3 linked regions of the Arabidopsis thaliana genome follow. The protein of the gene in region 2 interacts with the protein of the main gene of each other region in a pairwise test. Each region holds a gene or a part of one and is shown on either strand. Other genes may lie near its edges.

The links.
Region 1: the proteins of COS1 (region 2) and AT3G13672 interact in binary tests that used the Arabidopsis thaliana proteins (3 or more experiments, as listed by UniProt).
Region 3: the proteins of COS1 (region 2) and AT4G18650 interact in binary tests that used the Arabidopsis thaliana proteins (3 or more experiments, as listed by UniProt).

Annotation. Positions count from the first base shown.
Region 1 is NC_003074.8:4,471,551-4,478,693, forward strand, and holds AT3G13672 (TRAF-like superfamily protein), read right to left. Parts: upstream 2,815-7,143; 5' UTR 2,794-2,814; coding exon 2,695-2,793; intron 2,624-2,694; coding exon 1,991-2,623; downstream 1-1,990. Other genes in the region: AT3G13670 (Protein kinase family protein), read left to right, coding at 2-220, 317-459, 615-789, 877-967, 1,077-1,234, 1,338-1,526, 1,625-1,684; AT3G13674 (uncharacterized protein), read right to left, coding at 3,460-3,479, 3,878-3,987, 4,174-4,331; AT3G13677 (uncharacterized protein), read left to right, coding at 4,746-4,919, 5,007-5,057, 5,252-5,542; AT3G13680 (F-box and associated interaction domains-containing protein), read right to left, coding at 5,984-7,143. UniProt on the Arabidopsis thaliana protein: Probable inactive E3 ubiquitin-protein ligase that plays a role in regulation of autophagy. Upon starvation, involved in maintaining ATG6 homeostasis by competitively associating with ATG6, a component of the autophagosome complex.
Region 2 is NC_003071.7:18,220,992-18,229,598, reverse strand, and holds COS1 (6,7-dimethyl-8-ribityllumazine synthase / DMRL synthase / lumazine synthase / riboflavin synthase), read right to left. Parts: upstream 5,387-8,607; 5' UTR 5,296-5,386; coding exon 5,145-5,295; intron 5,058-5,144; coding exon 4,942-5,057; intron 4,806-4,941; coding exon 4,710-4,805; intron 4,634-4,709; coding exon 4,538-4,633; intron 4,395-4,537; coding exon 4,316-4,394; intron 4,076-4,315; coding exon 4,029-4,075; intron 3,931-4,028; coding exon 3,871-3,930; intron 3,721-3,870; coding exon 3,682-3,720; 3' UTR 3,366-3,681; downstream 1-3,365. Other genes in the region: AT2G44065 (Ribosomal protein L2 family), read right to left, coding at 643-739; AT2G44060 (Late embryogenesis abundant protein, group 2), read right to left, coding at 1,611-1,616, 1,706-2,677; AT2G44040 (Dihydrodipicolinate reductase, bacterial/plant), read left to right, coding at 5,601-5,614, 5,713-5,926, 6,088-6,325, 6,526-6,659, 6,755-6,829, 6,932-7,033, 7,126-7,235, 7,337-7,424 and 1 more; AT2G44030 (Galactose oxidase/kelch repeat superfamily protein), read right to left, coding at 8,371-8,607. UniProt on the Arabidopsis thaliana protein: Catalyzes the formation of 6,7-dimethyl-8-ribityllumazine by condensation of 5-amino-6-(D-ribitylamino)uracil with 3,4-dihydroxy-2-butanone 4-phosphate. This is the penultimate step in the biosynthesis of riboflavin.
Region 3 is NC_003075.7:10,261,979-10,270,056, reverse strand, and holds AT4G18650 (transcription factor-like protein), read left to right. Parts: upstream 1-4,617; 5' UTR 4,618-4,634; coding exon 4,635-5,057; intron 5,058-5,738; coding exon 5,739-6,014; 3' UTR 6,015-6,088; downstream 6,089-8,078. Other genes in the region: MRH1 (Leucine-rich repeat protein kinase family protein), read right to left, coding at 6,480-6,737, 6,831-7,022, 7,206-7,360, 7,441-7,573, 7,654-7,844, 7,928-8,078.

The DNA.
Region 1 (7,143 bases), on a different chromosome or scaffold from region 2:
GGGAGATAACAAGTCATTCCTTGTTTGCAAAAAGAAGATGGCAACATCGCCGGATATGCTTTGTTGTTTTTGTCCCCCTCCTTTCAAACAATTTCTTGAGATCGTGGTAAATATGAAATTTGATGAAGAACCCAACTATGGAAAGTTAGTATCTCTGTTTCAAGACCTCTTGGGCGAAAATCCGGCAATTAGGCCTATAAACACAGAGGGTGCTCAAAAGGTGACATTTTCATGCTGTATATCTTTCCCTTTCGTTCCTATTTGGATATCTAGGAGTTGTTGTTTAACATCTTGTAATTGTTTTCTTTTGTGCTAGATCATATTCCAAGTTGGCCAGAAGCGAGGTAGGTTGAGCATTGGGGAGGAAGAAGAAGATGCCCCTAGGAAAAAGGTCCGTCTAGGAGTCCCTGCAACGCAATGGATATCGATTTACAATGCCAGGCAACCAATGAAGCAGAGGTAAAAAAATTCATGGTTAATTATTTATACAGTCAGTTAACTGCTGGGACTGCGTTTGTGTCTCATTTTTTCTCTTGGTTATATTATAATCTTGGATTTTTGGCCTTAATGTGTCTAAAACTATTTTTGGACTCACAATTTATGTGTTTAACCAGGTATCATTATAATGTGGCTGATATAAGACTGGCACAGCATATTGAGAGAGGTATTGCAGATGGTTTGTTGATAAGCTGTGTATCATCATGTTCGAATCTCTGGGCATTGATAATGGATGCTGGAACTGGCTTCACGCACCAAGTCTATGAACTCTCTCCTGTATTCTTGCACAAGGTTGTCTGATGTTTCTCTGTTAGTTATTTTTATATCTGTGTTCTGTCAAGATGATCTTACCTGAGAGTGAATTCTGTTTTGAATCAGGAATGGATTATGGAGCAGTGGGAGAAGAACTACTACATTAGTTCTATTGCTGGTGCAAGCAATGGAAGCTCCTTAGTTGTCATGTCAAAAGGTATCTACACTTTTCATGAATACTTTTGAACACTTTCGTCATTATGGTATTTTACTAGTCTCTGAATTTGTGGCTTATTCTATGTTTGGTTTTCAAATGAATTATGAAGGTACGCAGTATACACAGCAGTCTTACAAAGTAAGCGATTCATTCCCGTTCAAGTGGATAAACAAGAAATGGAGAGAAGGCTTCCATGTAACCTCAATGGCAACAGCTGGAAATCGATGGGGTGTTGTTATGTCCCGCAATTCTGGCTACAGTGAACAGGTTAGACTTCACCGATATAGATGAATTTCTTCCGTTTCCTTCAGTTTTGGATCTGTCGCGTTGATTTCTAATTCTCCTGTTTTCGCTTATATCTCCTCTACAGGTTGTGGAACTTGATTTTCTGTATCCAAGTGAAGGCATCCACAGGCGTTGGGATGGTGGATTCAGAATCACATCAACAGCAGCCACAACCGATCAAGCTGCTCTCATCCTAAGCATCCCACGTCGTAGACTTGTTGATGAGACACAAGAGACGTTACGTACCTCTCAATTCCCCAGCACACACGTCAAGGTGAGTAGAGCAGCTATAAAAGATTACTAATCAATATCTTGAACTCTTTTTCTCCCTTCCCATGAACAATACCGGAGATGCAATTTTCTGTTGTGCAGGAAAAATGGGGAAAGAATCTCTACCTTGCATCGTTAAGCTATGGCCGAACTGTATCTTGAGACTTATTAGTAAAAACTGTTGAAGGACGAGAGAAATATGTTTCTAAGTCTCGGCTCCTATTCCTTATCCAACCCTATGGCCTCTCAGGCTCTGTTGTGCTTCTTCTTTTTTTTCAGTTGAATTGTGAAGCAAAAATGTGGTGATTGTGTTGTTTATTCCCCCCTTGTGAAGGGGATTGAGCCATAATCACCAGTTTACCTACACATTTCCCTCGAAATTGCTATATTTAATTTTTAAATCAAGAAAAGATATTTTTGTCACCAAATATTCTATAGTTGTCCAATTCTGTAACCTAATTATCGAATTCATATCGAAACAGGCTGTTCTCTCCATACACGACCTGAAACCTTCAACTTCAGCTCCTTGTCGGTGGTGTTGTTGTCGGTAGAGAAGAACAAAGCCAATTTGCGAGTGATGATTAAGCCATCTTGACTATCACGAACCGTCTTGTGACTGTCACGAATGCTCCTCGGCACGCCTTGCCATGTCAGCTTTCTGCCATTCCCTCCGACCTGCAAACTATAGCTGAAGCTCATTGCCTCTTCTTCATCTCCCATAAACTGCATGAAGGCCATGTACATTGGTGTTTTCCTCAGGTGAAACGCTTCGAAGTACAAGCAGAATTTTCGACCACAACAATCGAGAAGCTGCATCGTTTCAAGTGGGTTAAAACTTAAAAATTCACAAAGTTGCAGAAACAGAGCAAGATAATCAGTTATATAACTTACTGTTAACATCCAAGTAGCATGATGAAGATGTTTAGGATCATGATGAACATATCTGTGACTGAAACTACGCCCATCACTCATTTCAACATTGTGATCATTCCTTAGATGCAGTAGTAGCCTTTGAATATCTCCTGTGACATCACACTTGGCTCCTGAGTGTGGACAATTGTACGGTTTCTTCTTAGGGTTTTCGATGTGGTCGTTGGGACACTGCAATAGGATCTGTATATTACTTGTTGTGTTCTTATTGTAGTAGTATCAATATGATATGATATACATACCTCGTAGATTGCAGAGGATATCTGGTTTGTATGAACCGGAAAATCGAGCAACTCATGAACCCGAGATTCCACCTGAAGGTCATTGATTCGAGGTTCCATTTCGCAGGAATTAATGAATTCACAAGCCAAGTGATGAAGTGAAAGAGGAGAAAGGTGTACGTTTGTACATATGTACATACAATCAACCACATAGATACGTTTACGTTGTGTCAAGTTTCAACGTCCAATAATTGGAGACAACGTGGAGTAAATGGTGGATATAGGAGTTGGTTCCGGAGATTACGTACGTCAAAGAGCTTAATTGTAGGAGAGAAAATAATACAAACAAAAAAACATATAGTAACATGACTTGGGATTGAAATTACAAATTAGTCAAGGTTCTTAGTTACACGACACTCTTGAGTTGGAGTTGTCATAGCAAGTATCCAATTGGGTCTTGCAAGTTGTAACCATCCAAATCAAGATGCCAAGTGGACAAATGTCTCTTAGCCAAATCAAATCATTGCTACTGATTGATCTTTTAGTCACTCATGGTCAAGCTAAAGAAATTGCATGAGAAAAAAATAAATTTCCAAAGATGAAAGATCTAGCCTGCAACATTACATTGATTACTCTGTTTCTGATTAACTCAAAACCGCAAGATAACAGAATCTAAACTACAGGACTTTCGGATGTGAATAAAAGCTAAAAAGAACGATACAATCCGAGCTTCGTTTATGTCTCTATCCTCCTGGAAACTTGTTGTAAGATGAGAAAAGAAAACTGTCATAAAGGCAATGAAAGACCTGCAATTCCAAAGAAAAGATTCATGTCAATCTATTGAACTAACTAAGCAACGAAACTCTATCAAAACCAAACTTAGAAGTAATGTGTGATTTTATCAGTTCAGATCCATACACAAACATAAAAGGGTTCAACTTCATCAGATTTACAAATGATGATGCTATATGATCACATACTTCTGTTGCTGTCAAGTTTATCAAAGGAACTTATGTACATCCTTATCCGTAGAGCTAACTATCGGATTCAAATTGATGCATCATCACATTTATCGCCATATACACAGTACAAAGGATACAAATTGCAACACAGAGAAACAACAGAATGTGTTGTGTGCTGATACACCTATGTAAAGTAAACCCAAATGGTAATTCCAGTGCTCAAGAACAAAACAAAAACTGACCTTGAGGAACTAATCCCCAGATTTTGGATTCAACGGACAAACTTGAGACGAGCCTGGACGATGCTATAGCACTGTGCAGAGGTATCATCGAGCTCAACTCCACTGGTAATCTGAAAACAACCATCCAACAAGTTCATCAAATTTGTAATTTTGCTTAGAAAGATTTTGACTTTGTTGATTCAGATTTCAAAATTATCAGCAAGTAATCTACATTGTTGCAGACCCATTGATAGTGAGGAAAAAAGAAGGTTTTTGTCTTCTCCATTTGATAGTGTGAAATGATACAAAAGACAAACCTTGAAGATCGATTGAGACGACAACTAGTTGCTGAGGAAGGTGATGCAGATTTGATGGGAGAGGGGAGTGATGAAACATTGGCATTCTTGTTGCTGAGATTTTGACATAGAGACTTTAATCGAGACGAGAATCTGCCTAACACTCTTGAAGATGCCATTGCCAGGAAGAAGCAAAATTCAGATGTGATCGGAGATTTTAGGGCTTAAAGGGTTCTTAGTGAGCTAGGTCCCGGGTCGGGTTACAGGTTAGTTTACGGGTCGGGTAAGTAAATAACTGAAAAAGCCAAAATTATTTGATAAGAAGACCGGTGTCGAATTTAGGGCTGGAAGACAATTCTCGATCACTTCTTTTCGCAAATTCTCTTGAGTGTGACAAAATCGGAAACTGCGAGCTCTGAATTCGTAACCCTTGATGTAAAAACTCAATCTTTCTTCCCACTGTTCTGTTTTGTTCTATTTTCGATCGAACACAAAGTTGTTATTTTTCGAGCCCTTTATCTTTGTAATAACTGATTCCGTTTTCATTGTATATGTCTGTTTATTGAAGTTTCAGCTGAGGAATCAGTTACGAAATGGGAAGCAGAGGTAATCGTGTGGGAGAAAGATGGAATGAGATGGATTGTGATGAGAAATCGAGTGTGATTCAGGAAGAGATCAAAAGGGTTTGTAAACTTCCATCAAACAGTGTTTATGCAGTTCATCGTCTCAAGGTTCTCAACAAAATCAACGACCTTTTATCTGTCCAAGTAAGTCAATCCTCTTCTTCTTCACATTACTACTCTATATGAAACACCTTTGAAACTAACTAACTTATGTTTCTTTGTTGGACAGAGAACATTGTCTCAAGAGAAGGAGTTGGAATTGCTATTCACACAGCTCTCCTTGTAAAATCCAGATTTTGATGTATAAGGAACTAATGTAATATAACTTTTTACTCGAGATTGCTTGTTGATTAATGACATGGCAACAAGCTAGTTTCTTAAGAAGTTGGTGTTTATTGGTTTTAATTGTATGTTTTAGTTTTCCCTTTGTATTGATCAATTGGATGAGGATGCAATGAAACGGTTTGAGTTTGAAGTTGAGAATAATATACCACAGTTTGTGGGATGAGTTTCCTTTAGGCCGTAACATATTTCCCGATAGTGACACTCGGATGATGAAAACCCACAAGTCGCTCAAATTGGAAGTAAATGGCACATTCAGAGAAGAAGTGAGACGCCCATTAATCGTTAGGAATGGAGTTGTATATTGGTCTTGCATTCAAAGAAGCTATGTTTTGAAGTGCGAGAGATGGGAGCAATCCAAGCTAAGCTATAAGCGTGGCATGGGTGGAATTGTCCTTGGCGCGAATGTGGGAGAAGGTTTGTGAATGGTTGCATTTGTGTACTCCAAATGGGTAAATTCAAGATGTTAAAAAGGTTGTTCAAGGATAAAGCTGAGGGAAGACTCAAAATTTATGCCTAATTTCATTCAAGAGTTTAAGAAACCAAAACACAGAACACGATGCATCAGACCACCAAACCATCAAACAAATGAAACATTTCCAATACCTCGAGTGTTTTTTTATAAACAGAGGCAGTAAATGATTCTCTTAACTTATCTATCTATTTCCATATGGACTCCTACATCTAAACAACTAGTATGATTTTAGTTAAAGGCCGAGCTGATTGTATCACAAAACCCCCCACTTCTTTATAAGCAGATAAATAGCAAAACACAAGTTAATGATCGTTCAAAAGAACATCAAAGTCAATGGAATGAAACAAAAGAAGATGATGCAAGAAAAATATAAAAAGTAGTGTAAATGGAACTAGTTACTTTCTTTCCTTTTGCCCGGTTTGTTGATTTGTAGTTGAACTAAGCTTGGAACATAGGAAGAAGAGCACACAAGTGGAACACAGTAAGCTTGGTACGAGTTCTTCGCGATATTTGGGGCAACTCCCATGTTGACAGATTTGAAGTATTCATCTTGTCCAATAATATAAACTATTTGGTAGCGACAGGTCTCAGTCGGTTTATATCTATCTAAATCAAAAACCACAGCAACTTTCTTCTCCTCATCAATGAAAAAGCTCCCAGAAAAAGTGTCAACCGGAAAACCAGTGGACGTTATCAAAAACTTGCTCCACGAAACCGTATTGGGATCAATCTTATTTGTAACACAAATCTCGATTGTCTCAAATGCCCCCCAGCGTTGATATAACACAGCGAGCTGCTCTTCCCTAACACAAGCTAGAGACACAAAAAAGTCTGCATTGTAAGAGTGAAACGGCAGTGGCAGAGGCGGTCCAAATCTCTCCCTTGTAAAATCGAAACAAAGTAGAACATCTTCAATATTTATTGTCTTTATTCCTCCCACTGTTTCTTTCTTTTGCGCAGGAAAATAAGCATTCCCTTTCAAAGACGCGCCACGAAAATGAGACTGTATATCCCACTCAGGAATGACATCAAGAACCTTCCATGAATTAGAGCTAAAATCGTAGACTTCGTACCCAAAAACGCGGTTGCTGCTTGGATACAAATCGAAAATCCTCAATATTTTGTGGTTACGGTTGTTATCATATCCAAGAGCATACCTATCTTCTATCTGGTAATTGTTTCTCGGATGGATCCACCTAGTTTGCCCCAAATAAGGGTTCCATACCAAGAGCCCTGTGTTGTCCTTAATGATGCATAGGACTAAACCGTCACAGTGAAAAACTTGAGAGACCTCGATTTGATCGAGTTTACTTACTTGCTTTATAGATGGCTCAACCAACTCCCCGTCGTCGTTTCTGATTCCTTGGAGATCAAATTTCATTGAACAAACCCTTGAATCCTTCATCATAAACCCCAGAAACTTATTCTCTGCTGCTGTTGCTTTTCTACCACAAATCTGACTTTTCGATAAAGAGTTCCACTTTTGGCAAGTAGATCGTATAGCCCTCAGAGATGTCAGCGGAACCCTAGAGAGTATCTCCTCTACCAAAT
Region 2 (8,607 bases):
ATGATACTCCACAGAGCTCAATCTTAATTATAGGAAAAGAATATAATCCAGCTAGCAAGAGACTTAGGAGAAGAATTAGATACAAATAGCACCATAGTTGCAGAGATCCCAGCTTAGGCCCTAGTTATAAACTTATTCTAGTTACATAGTATCTTAACTTGAAGTAGCATAGTTTTCAGCTCAATCTTTAATCCAAGACTAATTTATGAAGAAGAGCCGATGTGATACAAGCTCATTCTTTTATCATCTAACAAAAAGAAGCAACCGCACTTTCACACTAGCTCATCATCTAATCCAGAAGTAAGTAAGTTCGTTCATCCAGTTCCTAATCCATCTAGAAGAGGTTTGTAGCTTGATAAAACCCACAACATAGGAAAAAAAATCAACTTGACCACTTAAATAGAAGAGGCTAACATAACAATAGACGTTACTCAATGTTTTGTTGTTTGTAACAATACTCTGCCTAAGGAAAATGGCTTTAACTATTATTATAAAACTCACAGTGCAACCATGTTCCTACACCATTTCACAACCCATATATCACCTCTTCAACAAATTCATTCAAGGTTCAAAGCAAAGAGTGAGAAAACTTGAAAAGTCTGTCAAAAGCATACATCTAGAATAAAGAGTAATACCACCTACCTGTAGAGAAATTGCGAAATGCTGGACGAATAACGCTGTTGAATAAAGAAGACGAAGCAGAAGCTCGAGCTCTGCATAACGCCACAAGACCTGACATGGAGGGACTGCTGCTCTAAACAGTATAAAGGTAGGGTTTTTAAGCACTACAGCTCCAACAACCTATCCAAATAAACACAAATAATTAACAGTCTGGAACTGTACATATCCTTGAAATTAGGGCTTCTACGCACTACCCACATACCTAAATCGTCACGACCGATTTTTATTTAAAATTCCGAATCAGAAAACTGTACAATATCACTAAATCCGGTCATTTCTTGCAATGATAATTTGAGCTATCAATCTACTGGGTTAAGTAATGGCTTCGTATAATGATGTAGCATGAGATCGGGACAAACCTGCAGTATGCCAAAGTCCTCGAAGAAACCTTTGCAATTTGAGAGAGAGACTGATCGAGGAAGACGACTATGGGTGTGTGAGAGAGAGCCTAAATGCCTAATTGTTTTAATTAAAATCGAGAAGACAGGCCCAATTCATTAATACAAGCCCAATACACCAAACCCACTAGATAGGCCCAGCTCGTTCTATCAGTGTTTTCTACACCATGTGCAGGCGCGAGAAAGGAAGAACAGAGCACGTATGTAATAAACGTCTCCATTGTAGAATCACTTGAGATTAAATTTTCTAAATATGAATTAACACATGATCGTTGAGGATGTGAACTGCGTTTTAGGTTCATTCATGTAATTGATAAACGCCAATGTGAAACACAAAACATAACTAAGCTAACGAGAGACCACAATGATATAAGAAGTCCAATAAAAAGACGGCTCTATTCAAAAGTCTGATCCATCAGTTATCAAAAAGCACACAAAACAAGTCTTTCTTTTTTTTTAATTTTAAATAGACATTTCAAGATCGGAGATTTAGTAACTATGACCATTCTGTCTCTGCAGCACTTTGTTTCCTTATTCCTGTAAGAAAATGAAATTAATATTAGTGAGCAAAAACGATCATAACGTTCAAGCTATAAGCAAAAGAAAAGAATATATAGGTAAATAACCTCATCGTCGTCATCATCATCTTCCTTCTTCAGACGGGTCTCTCCACCTTCCTTGATAATAGGAAGCTTCATAGCTCCAAATGGTGTATCAACATCAATATTACCTTTGATTGTGTACCCTGTTCCTTTACCACGAATCATATCCCAAAGCGCAGAACCAAAGTCCTTTGGTCGGAATGTCATCGGCACATTAATCAATCCGCTTCCGTTTTTGTCAAGCTTGATCGAGTCCGCGATCTCTGCTTTCCCAATGCTTACATCACACAGCCAAACTTCACAGTCCAAGTCATTGAGCCCCAAGTCGAAATCATTCATGTTCTGAAGCCTCACATGGAGAATCGCCACGGTTTCCTCCAAAGAGAACTTCTGGAACTTAATCTTCTCGATATCAACATCAGGTTTCTTTGGAATTGGGATCTCTCCACATTTCTCCAGCGGCAATGTCAGTCTTCCCAATACTGGCACATCCACAATCAGATCAACCTTGATTCTGTAAGGTATGATCATCCCGGGGTTGATATCGTTGTAAGTGCTCTTGATGTCATCATAGATCAACGTCAATGGTATCTTCACAGTTTCTTCTCCATGAGCCTTGAGTGTTCCAGCATCCGGGATCAAACCAGAAACCAGTTTCCTCCCATCGCTCTCGACCAGGTAGTTGACATCGATGAGAGGGATAGGAACTGGATTCGGGTTCTTGACAAGCACATCCACAACAATATCTGCCCTCTCAAGATTGATCTTAGGGATATGAATCGCAGAGACATCAGCAGTTGGCTTCCCAAAGCCAATGGTTCCCTCGAGTTTCTCACCAATGTCATGAATGAAATCTTTCACCTTATCGAGGAATCCACCTTTCCCTTCTTCTTTTTCCTCGTCCTTATCCTTCTGACTTCTATCGACGATTTCCACGTCACCCTCCTGATGAACTACTCTACTGATGATTTCCGGTTTATCCTCAGATGTCGACATGCCTCCTAAGCAGCAAGAAAAGTCAATTAGTGCCACAGAAACAAAAGCTTAGAGTATCAAAGAATAGACAAAACTTCAAGCATTCAACGCCGAGAGTAGATTCATCAATCACAGCAGGACAATGGTTGTAAAAGTCAAACAAAGTGTAATCACAGTTTTTAGTAGTTGTAAGAGGCTATAATCACCAAAACAAAGTTTCTCACCAAAGACCATAGAGAACTCGCATCACATTAGATATCATCAACTAGGATCCTAGTGGAATATCCCAAACCAAAGAACATACAATGCATCTCTGTACTAAGAGACAATGATCATATCACGTGAATCAAGAGGATTCGTGGGAAATACAGATCCGAATGTTCGATCTACACATGATAGCACTAGATCAACCTAAATGTCAAACAGATCGGAGAAACAAAAAGCTCGATCTAATTACACCACCTTTTTCCATGTATTCCGATCAAATCATGAAGGATCAACGCAAGAACAACAATGAAGAGAAATAAAACTTAGTGGATTTGATTTTTACCTGGATTGGATGAATGTGAGTCACAGAGACAAAGAGAAGAGAGTGCTCCAAGAGTCACAAAATGATTATAGATTGTGGAATTGGTTGATCCGTTGAACTTTATATTAACTATTATCAATGTGACGCGTAATCTTCGCTCGCCGACAAAATTTTCGTCGTGTAAGATCCTTATTGGCTTTTAAAATTGACATCCATTTCGACACCTCAATTTCAAGATATTACAACAAAGAAGATCACATTTTTGATTAGTACAGAAAGACCCCCAAAATTCGGAGGAATTATTATTATCATACGATTCAAAAAAAAAAAACAAGGCCAGAAGCTTACAAAAGCGTTTAAATGATTTTGTAACCAAGGGTAAAACATTTTGACAATCTTTGAGGTACAAACAATTTCAGAGACTGGATTGTAACCAAATGGGACAACATCAAGAGGTTCTCATACGTGATCATGTTCATCCATCGAACGAGCCGAGCTATTTCAGGTGGTGCTCAAACAACGACGCCATTTCGAGCTGAAAAACAAGAGGAAGAAATATTCAAAGACTTTACCAAAAAGACATAAGAACCCGAATGGTTATAACATGACCAGTTGCTCAATGGAATGATCAGGAATTTCTACATCTTATTCTAACAATAAAGGATTGAATCATAATGATACTTACCGCCGTCAAAGCAGTTTCAGCTCCCTTATTGCCGGCTTTGCCACCAGATCGATTCAGAGCCTAGAGTTTCAGTTAACCACAATATTAACAAATTCAGTGTTCATCCATTATGATGAATAAGCTATATATCATCAACTCTTGCATAACACAACTTAAACCTGATCCATGTCCTCGCAAGTCAGTACACCAAATATGCATGGAACGCCTGCAAATTGGATTTTTTATAAGCTTTAATTACTAGAGTCAATAGTGCGTAAACACAAAATTTGAAGAAGTAATTCATGATGAGGGAATTTAAACATCCAAAATCCAAAGAAAAGCAAAAATGAACTACCCGCTCTTTTAGGTTCGGAAGTATACAAAATCAATCTTTCAGTGTTTCCAAAACAATGTCAAATAAAAATGTCTAAAGATGTATATCCAGCAAATAAGTATCGAGGTAAACCTGAATTTATGCTAGCAGAAAGTACTCCAGACGCAGCAGAGTTGGCAACAGCATCATAATGTGTGGTATCTCCTCTTATCTAAACCACAACAAGGACAACAGTAATATCAAAATCCAACTCTTTAAGTATATGTTATCAACATAAAGCAACTACTTTCTGAAGCCATATGAGGAGAAAAACAAATGGAATAGCCTGAGATTCTTTCAAAACAAGAATCATACCACAGCGCCGATACATAAAACAGCATGAAATTTTCCCGATTTCCCAAGATTTTGTGCAACAACACCAATTTCAAAGCTGCCAGGAACCCAAATAACCTGAATAAAAACAGTGTCATTAGCTTTGTGAAAGCTCATAACTTTTTATTCTGTTCTACAAGCAAAAGACTTTTACTTCAATGTCTTCTTCTCTGACTGAATACTTCTTGAAAGTCTCAATCGCTCCTTCCAAAAGCAACTTAGTCACAACCTCATTGAAACGAGCTACCACCTTGAGAAAGAAAAATGAATCAGAACCAAGTCAACACTGCAATTGAGCTCAAAGTTTTCAAATTTCACTGTAAATCAGAACCAAGTCACTAAATCTAAGCAGCGCACAAAGTAAGAAAGCGATTCTGAGAACTCACGATGGCGAATCTAAGACCTTCGCCTCTGATAAGAGACCCCGTAACATGGCGAACAGCAGCCGTCTGTACGAATGAAGAGCGTAATTCCTTCTCTACAGCTAGTGGTGACGCAAATCCTAACACCAAATGTTAACATCTCAATCACGAAATTGCGAAAAAACGATTTGAGTTATTATAAGAGAAGTGAGAGAAAGCAAGCTTACCGGATGTGGATGAGGAGAATGAGAGATTATTGGATTTGTTCACAGAAGAGCCACCGTGTATATAACAGGCGGAGGAAGATTGACGCGAATTGAGCTGACGGTGTGCCGTCGGTATCAGGCGGAGACACGGCGGCGAAGCTAATGACTTCATTTTTCGTTCGTCGGAGTTTTAGAGACGGTTCTTCGTTCTTCAGGTTAAGAGTGAGACTGTGAGGTCCATTAGCTTATCAAATCGGTTCAAGGCTTCCGGTTTATTATTTTCATTAAAATTACGGTTTCATTGAATCTATTAGTTTGGTTAGAGATTTCCGGTTTGATGAAAAGGGATAAGCTAAACCCTACATCCCCAATCACTCTCACCGGCCGGAAATTTTCAGACAAAAGTGAAAGATTTAAACTTTTGACTCCGTCGTAACAAAGAACAAAACTTCCGTATCCTGGAGAGTAAATTCCTTTATGGCTACGAATGGGTACGTTTCGAAACCTACGAATTTCACGTTTTGATTGACGGAGATGAGCTTTAAACTCTTTAAGAGGATTCTATTGAATTTAAACGATTTGATCACAGGTTAATGGCGTCGTCCAGTGTGTTTCTTCATCGCCCGCGTATCGCATTTGCTTCTAGAACGAATCAGACTGTAGGAAAATACGGTAAAGGCCGTGTTAGTTTCATGGGCATTGGGACACGTCGTCTTCCGGTGGTTTTATCCATGACGGCGATGGCGGATTCCGGTGAGGAGGCCGTGAAATCTGTTTTGCCTGGAAATGGCATATCCATCATGGTAAACCTGATCATCTGATGATTTCTCTTAGACTCAAAGTTGTGAGATTTGACTTTGCATTACCATTTAAGTTTGAAATGTAGAAATGTCAAAGCTTGTTCCTTTTGAAATGGGGATTTTTATGTTGGATTTAGCTATATTCATTATCTCTTATTCTACAGGTGAATGGATGTAGTGGCAAAATGGGGAAAGCTGTAATTAAAGCAGCAGACTCTGCAGGAGTAAATATTGTTCCCATATCGTTTGGATCTGCTGGTGAGGATGGTCAGAGAGTTGAGGTCTGTGGAAAGGAGATTACTGTGCACGGTCCAACTGAAAGAGAAAAGGTTCTTTCTTCGGTGTTTGAGAAGCACCCGGAGCTAATTGTTGTCGACTACACAATTCCCTCTGCAGTAAATGGTAAACTTCAGAATCTCTCATTTCTACCATCAAAAGACAATTGTATTCTAGATTTGTTGAAGTTATGGTTGAATTCTGGTTGGCGGAACGATCCTTGATTGAGTTAGTTTAGAATTTGTGCAAGTGAAAATCATCTGCTAGAAGTGTTTTTTTTGTCTATTGTTTGTTGATTTCAAGTTTGGTATTCTCGCAAAATGTAGATAATGCGGAGCTGTATAGCAAAGTAGGTGTTCCTTTCGTCATGGGAACAACTGGTGGAGATAGGAACAAATTGTATGAAACTGTTGAGGAAGCAAAGATTTATGCTGTGATTTCTCCACAGATGGGTAAACAGGTATGTGTACTTGAATGTTTCTGGAAGAAATGATTACTTATGCATGTAAGTTAAGATCATTTTTGCTCATATTTGTGTGCTTTGTTGGTCTATAGGTTGTAGCATTTCTTGCGGCCATGGAGATCATGGCTGAGCAGTTTCCGGGAGCCTTTTCTGGTTATTCCTTGGATGTACTTTTCTTACTTCTTTTATACATTCAAATTCTTTTTTCTTTCTCTGTTAGTTTTATATTACTTCTTGCTACATCTAATCAACTGCCAATCTATATGTAGGTGATGGAGTCTCATCAAGCTAGCAAATTGGATGCATCCGGAACAGCAAAAGCTGTTATTTCTTGCTTCCAGGAATTGGGTGTGTCTTACGACATGGATCAGGTGCATTGGTCATCCTTTATTGTTTACATCTTGGCAATCACTTAATTTATCCTCGGAATGTGAATTTTCTGTGTATACAACTTTTGTGGCAGATACAATTGATTCGGGATCCAAAACAGCAAGTGGAGATGGTGGGTGTACCTGAGGAGCATATCTCTGGTCACGCTTTCCATCTTTATCACTTGACATCACCCGATGAAACGTAATGCAATATCTAAGATATTGTTTATACTTTTCTTTGTTTCCATTGTAAAAGTGTCTCTGTTCCATAACTAGCTCCCTTTTCTTTGTCTTTCTTTGCAGTGTCTCCTTCGAGTTCCAGCACAATGTCTGCGGCCGATCAATTTATGCTGAGGGTACTGTTGATGCCGTGCTCTTCCTCGCCAAAAAGGTTCTAAAGCTTGCTCTTATTGCTCATCATGATTCTGCGAAATTGAATCTCAGCTTTCTCTGAGTCTCACCGCTCTTCTCTATAATGCTAATTGTTGATTCAACACTTTTGTGAAATGCAGATTCGATTGAAAGCAGATCAGCGAATCTACAACATGATCGATGTCTTGAGAGAGGGAAATATGCGTTGAGCTTTCGAGTTTTGCCAGTGCATTGACCAAATGGTGGTTGTAGAAGAGCTGAGATTAGATTTACCAAATCATCAGCTGTGAAAATTAGATGTTTGGTTTCCCACTTCTTCTGCCTTGAGCACAGGCTTTTGAAATTCCTTGGTATATACAAGAACTTGCCATTGTATTGTTCATGTTTTGACCTCTTTACCTCAATGTTATTCTCCTTTCTGGATCATTGAAGTGAAGTCTTATTGATCAAACTTCTCCACAACAATTCTCAGACAAAGTAAAACCTAAATTCATCAAATGGACCCTTCACTTACCATTTGATGATTCAACATCTAAAATGAGATCAAGTGCATAATCATAGTAAGGAACTTGACCACTCAATCCGCAGAGATTGAAATCATCTTGTATATAATCTTAATCGACAAAGTTTATTCAATCTGGTGTTGTTAAGATTTTTGGCTTTTATTGTTATTCTCATTGAACAAATGAGTCACTTCGACTGTTCTTGGCGGTATGCATTTTAGGGCAGGCAACTAAGAAGAACTCCGGGGAGTCTTTTAAATGTGTAACAGTGACAGCTTATTTGGGCTTTAAATGGGCTTCTCATGAGACACCAAAGAACGGTTTTATGTTCCATAGGCCATGAGAAACAAATGAGGGAAAGTAAGCTCCATCAATGTCTGCAATAAGCATTAAGGAAAGAAGCTGCTGGTCTTGTTGGTAGTATATATCCATATAATTAGCAAGACTTGTGAAAGTATATATTCAGTGTCGAGCAAGTGTCACTAATTCATAATGCAAAAGGAAGGAATTGGAATCTGAATCGGATTCAGATCCAGGCAAGGTAAACACATTCTCAGACCATTCAATGACTCCCCAAACCAACTCGCGCTCAAGCAAAATTAGTGCACACCAAATCTCCGTTTTACATTCCTTAGTATACGTCTTCCACCAAACTGTCACTCTCCTTCCTCCGCCAGGGCTTGCCACCGAAAGAAGATA
Region 3 (8,078 bases), on a different chromosome or scaffold from region 2:
TTGTGGAATCAGAATAGAAAGAGATTTTTTTTTTTCATTTTTTTTTTTCAGAACAGATAGAGTTTCATCACTTAGACCATCTCCAAGGAGACACCAAATCACCAAATTTGGTGATAATTCTTCTCCAACGTGACACTATAATAGACACCAAATCTATTTTTTTGGTGTTTTGTGAACAGTGTGACACTATATCTGGTGTAACACTATTCACAAAACACCAAAAAATATATATTATTTTATTTATATTTTTGATTTAGTTTTATATTTAAATTGTTGGTTTTCAAATAAAAGACAAGTATACTAGCAATATTTTTGAATGTTTTTGTTTTCAAAATATCAAATTTTAATTAAATTAATATAAAATGATAAAGTGCACAAATTTTTGAAATAAATATCACATTAATTGAAATTAAAAATATATAATAAAGCTTAATTGAACATTAAAACATAAAATTACAACATTTAAACCAAACAAACATAAAAACCAAATGCAATAGATAAATTTGAACAACATAAAGAAATTTAATATAATAATGAAAATTTTGTTTTTGGTGTTAAAATTTGGTGTTTTGGTGTCAATGGTTGGAGTTGCTCTTAGACCATCCACATTGGTGGACTCTTAGCAAATCTTCTTAACATTATTTTTATCTTCTTGACATTATTTTTATAATTTATTTTGAAAATTTTGAAGTTAAAAGTTCATTTTTTTGGCAATGTCTAATGGTGGGCTCTTAAGATATGGCTTTAAAAAAAAAATGTAACACTAGATCAAATTTATGTGTTTTGGTTTATGTGTTTTTTGGTTTTGGGGAGAAAAAGGAAATTTTGGTTATTTTGAGAAAACAAATATATGGTTTTGGTTTATGTGTTTTGCTTTTGTGGAGAAAACAAAGATACGGTTTTGGTTGATGTGTTTTAATCTTGTTTCACAATCGGAATTTGGAATAAAGACATACACAAAGTTTACAATAGGTTTCCTTTATCATAAAACTGCTTCACAATTGGTTTCCTCTATGACTAAACTTTACAAATTTGATCAAAGCATATACAAAGTTTTCTTCAGTCACCAAGTCTTGAGTCATCAATGTCTTCTCTCTTCTGCTTCCTTGTGAAACGTTGCAGCCTTATTCTTCATCCTCTGTGCATACTCTGCTTTCTTCTTCTCCTATGCTTCCTTGTAAACAGAGACAAGTTATAAGAAAACAATGTTAGCCAAATTTAAACGGCAAAAACTTTAATTGGTAAAGAATAGAAATCAATGGAGCTTAGAGATCCTCAAGAGGGTGTCGATATCGTTGAACCACTTCACTTTTGAAATCACTCTTAGTAGTGGTATCTACATCTTTTGTCCTTTCGTTTGGAGAGAAGTCAATAGACACAGCTTGGAGCAGATCATGAAAATTCACATACCAATCAAGCCGTTGCTTGCTCCACTCTAGGCTGAACAACGTAAGATTGGATTTTGTTCAGAGGCATATTGTAAGTCTTCTCCTAAGAGCATCGTTTTAAAGTTCCATCACAAAATCATCTCTCCATATACATCCATATAAAGATCAAAATAAAACGGAGAGATTTGATCAAAATCTTTTCAATTTCAACACATATATCTCAAATAAATATAACAATCATTCGTATGGCAACAAATACTAATCAAATTAAAGTATGAACTTACCCTATTTTACAAAAATTGAATACACATAATTTTCCCAATTCATAAACCCTACTTATAACTAATTTTATAAGGCTCAAACAAAATCAATTCAAACATGCAGAGAGATTCATACCTTCATAGACCGATATTTGAGCTGACGACGAATCCTTCTGATTGAACACAAATCGTCGAATATCCTCGCCGAAGTAACGGAAAGCATCGTGAAAGAGAGAGAGAAAGAAGAAAATAATTCTTCGGCTCACGGTTATATTTTGTTTTATATTTTTCTCTTATCATTTCGACACCTGTCCCGTTCTTAACTAATTAATTGGCTCTTATATTAGAGACGTTCTTAACAAATTTATTATTAAAAACATTAAAGTTATATCCTAAGAAGCCGTGATAATGATGCTCTTAGAATTGGAAAGAGTTTTATTGGAATTTGTAAAAGGCCCAAAGCTATTACCTGACCCTAATTACTGTTTACATTGATCAGTAAGATAGAAAGAATGATGCAAATTACGAAATAATTTTTGAACAAAAGTAGGTTAAATAAATCAACTAATTAAATATAGAAAATAATTTAACTTTAGTCAACTAAAAGAATTAATTAAATAGAAGAAATTATTTGAAAAAAATATTCAACTCCTTCATTTACCATTTTCACAAAAAAAAAATGGGGTCAATTAGATTCCACTCATTTATTTAGAGGTGACCATTTTGCACTCCGATCACAACTTCAAAAATAGTGTTGACAAAGTTTATGACTGTAGTCTTCTTGCTAGTTGTCCGACCATTGCTCTTATTGAGCAAATCATCACTTTGTTCGTGCCACTGATGCCACCTATTCCAATTTGGAACAGTACCAACCATATCGCGTCATCGCCTCATTTATCTTACTTTTACTCGTCCGAGCTTTGCTTTGTGATGTATATTATTTGTCAACTCATGTATAATTCGATCAATGCGCATTGGGAGGCTGCTTATGAGGTTATCCACTCTTAATGATGTCTTCTTGTATAATTTGCTCAATGCCTCATTATATAAGCTTCGTTTTTATTTTAGGCACTTTTTTCTTAAAGTATCCAAGTAAATGCACCAATAAAATATGCATATGAGCAATCAGTTCCCAAATGAGAATTTGTTGACAAGAAAATATGAATATGAGCTCACCTACCCATACATACCACACTCAGAATTTTATAACACGTTAGAAGAAGTTATACTTCCGTTTATTTGTCTCGCAGCCCACTAAAGGCCTAGTAGAGGAAGTAAAGAAAAAGAAAAAGTCCATTTAAGAAATTGTACTGGTCCCAAAATTGTCGGCTTCTATCTGTTTAAAGTTTAAACCAAACCCAACCCAAAAGGCCGAAACAATAGTACTGCATCTGCATGTTTCGTTATTTATTTGTTATATTCATATATTAGCCGTTTTGGGGTTTATTTTTTAGTAGATAAACATCATAATATTTTTTTTTAATATAATTAGTAATTAGATTTTCAGTTTCTATAGTTAATCTAAAATGATTTACTTTAGAGTTTACACAAATCATATATTTTCTGAAATATGCTTTCCGTGTTTATAATAAATTCTTAATTCGAATTAGTACAAATCTATTTAAAACCATGATAAAATAACATTAAAAGACAAAATCAAAATATAACAAAAAAATGGTTTCCTTGTAGATTTTATTACACATATTATTATAAAGATAAGCAAAACTATATACATTGCATATTCTCATATACATACACTAGCTAGTGGAGATTGACTGGGTAACTTACGTGGAAGATATGTTCCACGTTGACGCTAATAATGGCTAAACGAACGACACGAGGATCCACATGAGCCATCAACTCTGTGACTTGCCGTTTCGGGTCTCTCAGAGGTCAAAACCCTCCCTTAGCTAGTTTTCGAGTCTTCTTCACATTGAAGAAAGATCTTACTATTATATTCCATTTTTATTGATCTTATCAATACATCAATTTCTGTAGCTGTTGAATGAATGTTCTCATTTGTTATTTTTGGAAAACATATATCAGTGTTTTATTAAAATACTAAGCATGAGTTGATTTAAATTCATCATATAAAATTACGTAAATTAAAAGACTATTTACTAACTTTGCAAAACGTCACATATTTGCAGTCGGCCAGTGATGCGCGTAACCATGCAACTATTGTAATCTCCCTTCTCTTCCATCTGTCATGTCTTTTCTTTCAAGTTTTAATATTTCTTTCGTATAAAGAATTAATTAATTAATGTATATTTTAATCATCTTTTCGATGAACGTAAATATCCACGTATAAGTTTTTATGTACATTCAATTTTTATATACATATCTCTATACTTAAAATCTTAGATATACGTTCACATGCTGCATGTCGACATTGTAGAGGTCCTCAGAACTAATAACGTCAAATTTTTTTTTTTTAAAGCTTTTTTGATAGGATTTTGTATTAAAATTTTAAGGGAAGACAACCCACCGGCCATAGTGACTTAGCATATAATAAAATATGAGTATCTGATTAGTACAAGAATTGTACAAGAATTTTACGAATACCAAATCACATATTAATTATTGTCTTTTTAAATTTTCCCAAACTGGTACCCTTTAAAAGGTTACTTAAAATCAAAACAGAAAAAAAAAAACCAAATAAAAGAGATTCAAAATTTCAAAACTCATGTTAAGCAATATTTGGTGACCAAATGATAATTACATATTAAGTTCTTTCGGTTTAATAATAAATATGTGTTCGACCATTTCAACTCTACTATTGATTCATTTTCTATATTTCGTTATTCCGTACAAAGTAGAGTTGGTAATATAAAACCATTCCGAAATATATTATAGATAAATTATTATTACAGAAACATCATGCATGCACCTGGGGATATACATATATGCATTGTGTATATATCGATAGACGTAGGTATAAATATTGTTCCAAAATGCTAATTTTCTTTATAGAATATAACCACTAATGAGCAAAATGAGAAACCTAGTAGAAGAAAAGTTCCTAGAGTTCTATGAGAGTTGGGTTATTCAACTTGAGCTATATCTTCATCAACTTTTAATTGCTCATAACAATAACACTATGAGTGAGACCGAGCTTCGACATTTGATCTCGAAGCTAACTACACATCACAAAGCTTATTATACAGCCAAATGGGCAGCCATAAGAGAAGATGTCTTAGCTTTTTTCGGATCAGTTTGGTTAAACCCGTTAGAGAATGCTTGCTCTTGGTTAACCGGATGGAAACCGTCGATGGTGTTTCGGATGGTTGATAGGCTGAGGAAGTCGAGAGTGGTGCTTGTGGAGGCTCAGGTGAAGAAATTGGAGGAGCTGAGAGTTAAGACCAAGTTCGATGAGCAAAAAATTGAGAGAGAGATGGAGCGGTATCAGGTGGGTCCAACATTTAGATTCATTAGAATTTTAAAACTATTTTTCAAACATTGATTTATTTATAAACGGAATTTTTTTAACTGAATAATGGATTGCTATTTTCAGTGATTGCTCTATTTTCTTTGAAAATTATGTTTTTTTAAAAAAATCTTTAAAGTTATAGCAATTTTGATGAATTTTCTATTGAATCCTTAACATTTAAACCGAAAAGCAAATTATATTGAAAATAGTGTCAAATCAAAAATATTCTATATATTTTTTTTTGTTTATTCAAACAAGGGATACCGAATTTTAATATATATATATATATACACAAAATATTTTTTTGTTAGACCTAATTATTACTCATCTGTGTGGTGCTAGTTGGATACAATTTTAAATTTTATTTGATATAAAAGACAACATATATGATCTTGATATTTTACGGAATGGTGGAATGATTCAATATGTTTTTGTCTATTACATTTTCTTCGAATCACGTTTTTATTCATCTATTTTTAGTTTTTTACTGTTTGCATAATTTGTGAAAGAAAAAAAAGTCGCCATTTCCGTAAATTTTGGACTTAAATCAAATATTTTCCGTTTACCTTTATCAGTAATTACTATACCTATACTGAAATGTAGGAATACAAATTTTGTAAATCATTTTATTTTAGTTATTTAACTTGAAACTGTCTTTAGGTGGCTATGGCTGATCGGAAAATGGTAGAGCTGGCGAGGCTTGGATGTCACGTCGGAGGAGAATCGGTGATGGTGGTGGAGGCAGCGGTGAGAGGATTATCGATGGGTCTTGAGAAAATGGTGAAGGCTGCGGATTGTGTGCGGCTGAAAACGCTTAAAGGTATATTAGACATTTTAACTCCACCGCAATGCGTTGAGTTTTTGGCAGCGGCGGCTACGTTTCAGGTTCAGTTACGTCGGTGGGGAAACCGAAGACATTATGTCACTCACTCCTGACACAAACTTAAGAGTTATTTTCTCTGTTCTGTTTTTTTTTTTTTTCATATTACAATAAGAATGAAATTTTTAACTTCCATCAACTGCCTCTTGCGTTAAAAACTTCAAACGAAAAATAGAATGTAATTTCATGCATGAAATATATGAATGTGAAGTAACAAATTTTATACATCAAAGACTAAAATATAAGCGAAACCTAATAATATTCAAAAATTAGAATCACACATATATATCATCACAAAAATAATAATACTACTATGCAATATACAAACACATATCGAAACTCGTATATATCAAATCCATAGAGAAGGAAACACTAATCAAAACAAACTGAACGTTGAAGAATCAAGAAACCAAATGCTCATATAAGAAAAACTGATCCAAGAAATCAGAAGAAAAAGAAAAATCGATACAACGTATAGAGAGATTGAGAGCATTAAACGAATAGGAGAAACCTCTGATTGGTCAAGTAGCTTCAGAGGACAAGATTTCGAGCTCTGCCCACCAAAGAGGAGAGGATCTTGGAGTAGCTTTCTCAGGAGTTATGTTGATAACTTGTTTCAGTTGTTCCGCTACATCTTTCATTGAAGGTCGTTGTCTCTGTTCTGTTTTCAGACATTCTCGTATCACATCGCAGATCACTTCAAGCTCCTCTTCTTTGAATGTCTTTAACGATGGATCTATCATCTCTCCCAAGTCGTCTTTTTCAAGGTACTTCGATGCCTGAAATATGGACCAGACCGTTAGTATATAGATGATATCCTCTGCTTTTTTTATATTATTAGATAGGGATTATTATCGCTTATATATATATACCCATTGCTCGATAGATCCGTATTCGTCTGAGAAAGAGAGCTTTCCAGAGATGATTTCGAGCATCAGGACTCCGAAGCTATGGACGTTAGCCTCCGGTTCTGGAGGTAGTAACAATGACGTTTGCTCTAAGTCTCCACTCACGTGTTTCTTCGGATTTAATCTTGCCTCTAAGTTGAATGGAATCTCCGAGACCTGTAAATTCGGTTAAACAAATCTTTTTAGCGGCTTAAAGACAAAACATCTAAAACAGTTTCAAGGTTCTTGAGCAAATTCATCTTAAAAACGTAAACTTGTAATACAAGTTTCAGAGGTTCTTGAGCACATACAGCTTAATAACAACACCTTTAATAACAGTTTGAGAGTTTTAGAGCAAACCTTGGCTGCGTAGTCATCGGTTAGGTAGATTTCCGATGAATTGAAGTCCGTATGAGCCATAGGCGGGTTCATCCCGTGCATATGTTGAAGACAGTAAGCCGTTCCCATTATTATTCTCATCCGTGCGCTCCAATCAAGATGCTCTGTCTCCTTATCTGATAGGCGGAAAACGTTATTAACTGAGAGAGTGAAAGCCGAGATAACATCATGAAAAGACCAAGACCAATGTTGTTACCGTGCAAATGTTCGAAAAGAGTTCCATTTGGAGCATATTCAAAGACCATCATCCTATTAAAAGGATCATCTTCTTCGCAGTATCCAATCAGATTCACAAAGTTCTTATGGTTGATCCGTGACAGAGTATCAATCTACAAAAAGACCTTTTAAGTTATAATGATAAGACCTTTTAAGTTAGTTTTTTGTTAGTTAAGAAGGAGTAAGCAGTAACCTTTCTACGGTATGCCATTTCCATGGCTCTTGTCCATTCTTTAGATTCAGCAATCGCGGTTGAAGCTACCGCTATCTCAACACCACTCGACAATGTTCCTTTATACACAGTGTAACCGTCAAATGTCTCTATGATGTTGCTGAAATCTTCACACGCTGTTTCAAGCTCAGACCGATTGAGCTTTGGTACCCCTACATTTTGTTCTCAGTTTCAGTGTTAATGTTCCTAAAGAAACAGAGTAAAAATGGAAACAAAGAGAAATAAGATTTTTTACCGGTAACAAAAGCTTTCTGCAATTGTCCACTAAGACCAGTTTTCCAAGGACCTATGCTCTTGACAGCTCTTTTCCGGCAGAAGAAGATAACCGCTACTATAATCAGTAAACCGACGAAAGAAGCAACCGCGATAACCACATACAGCCATAC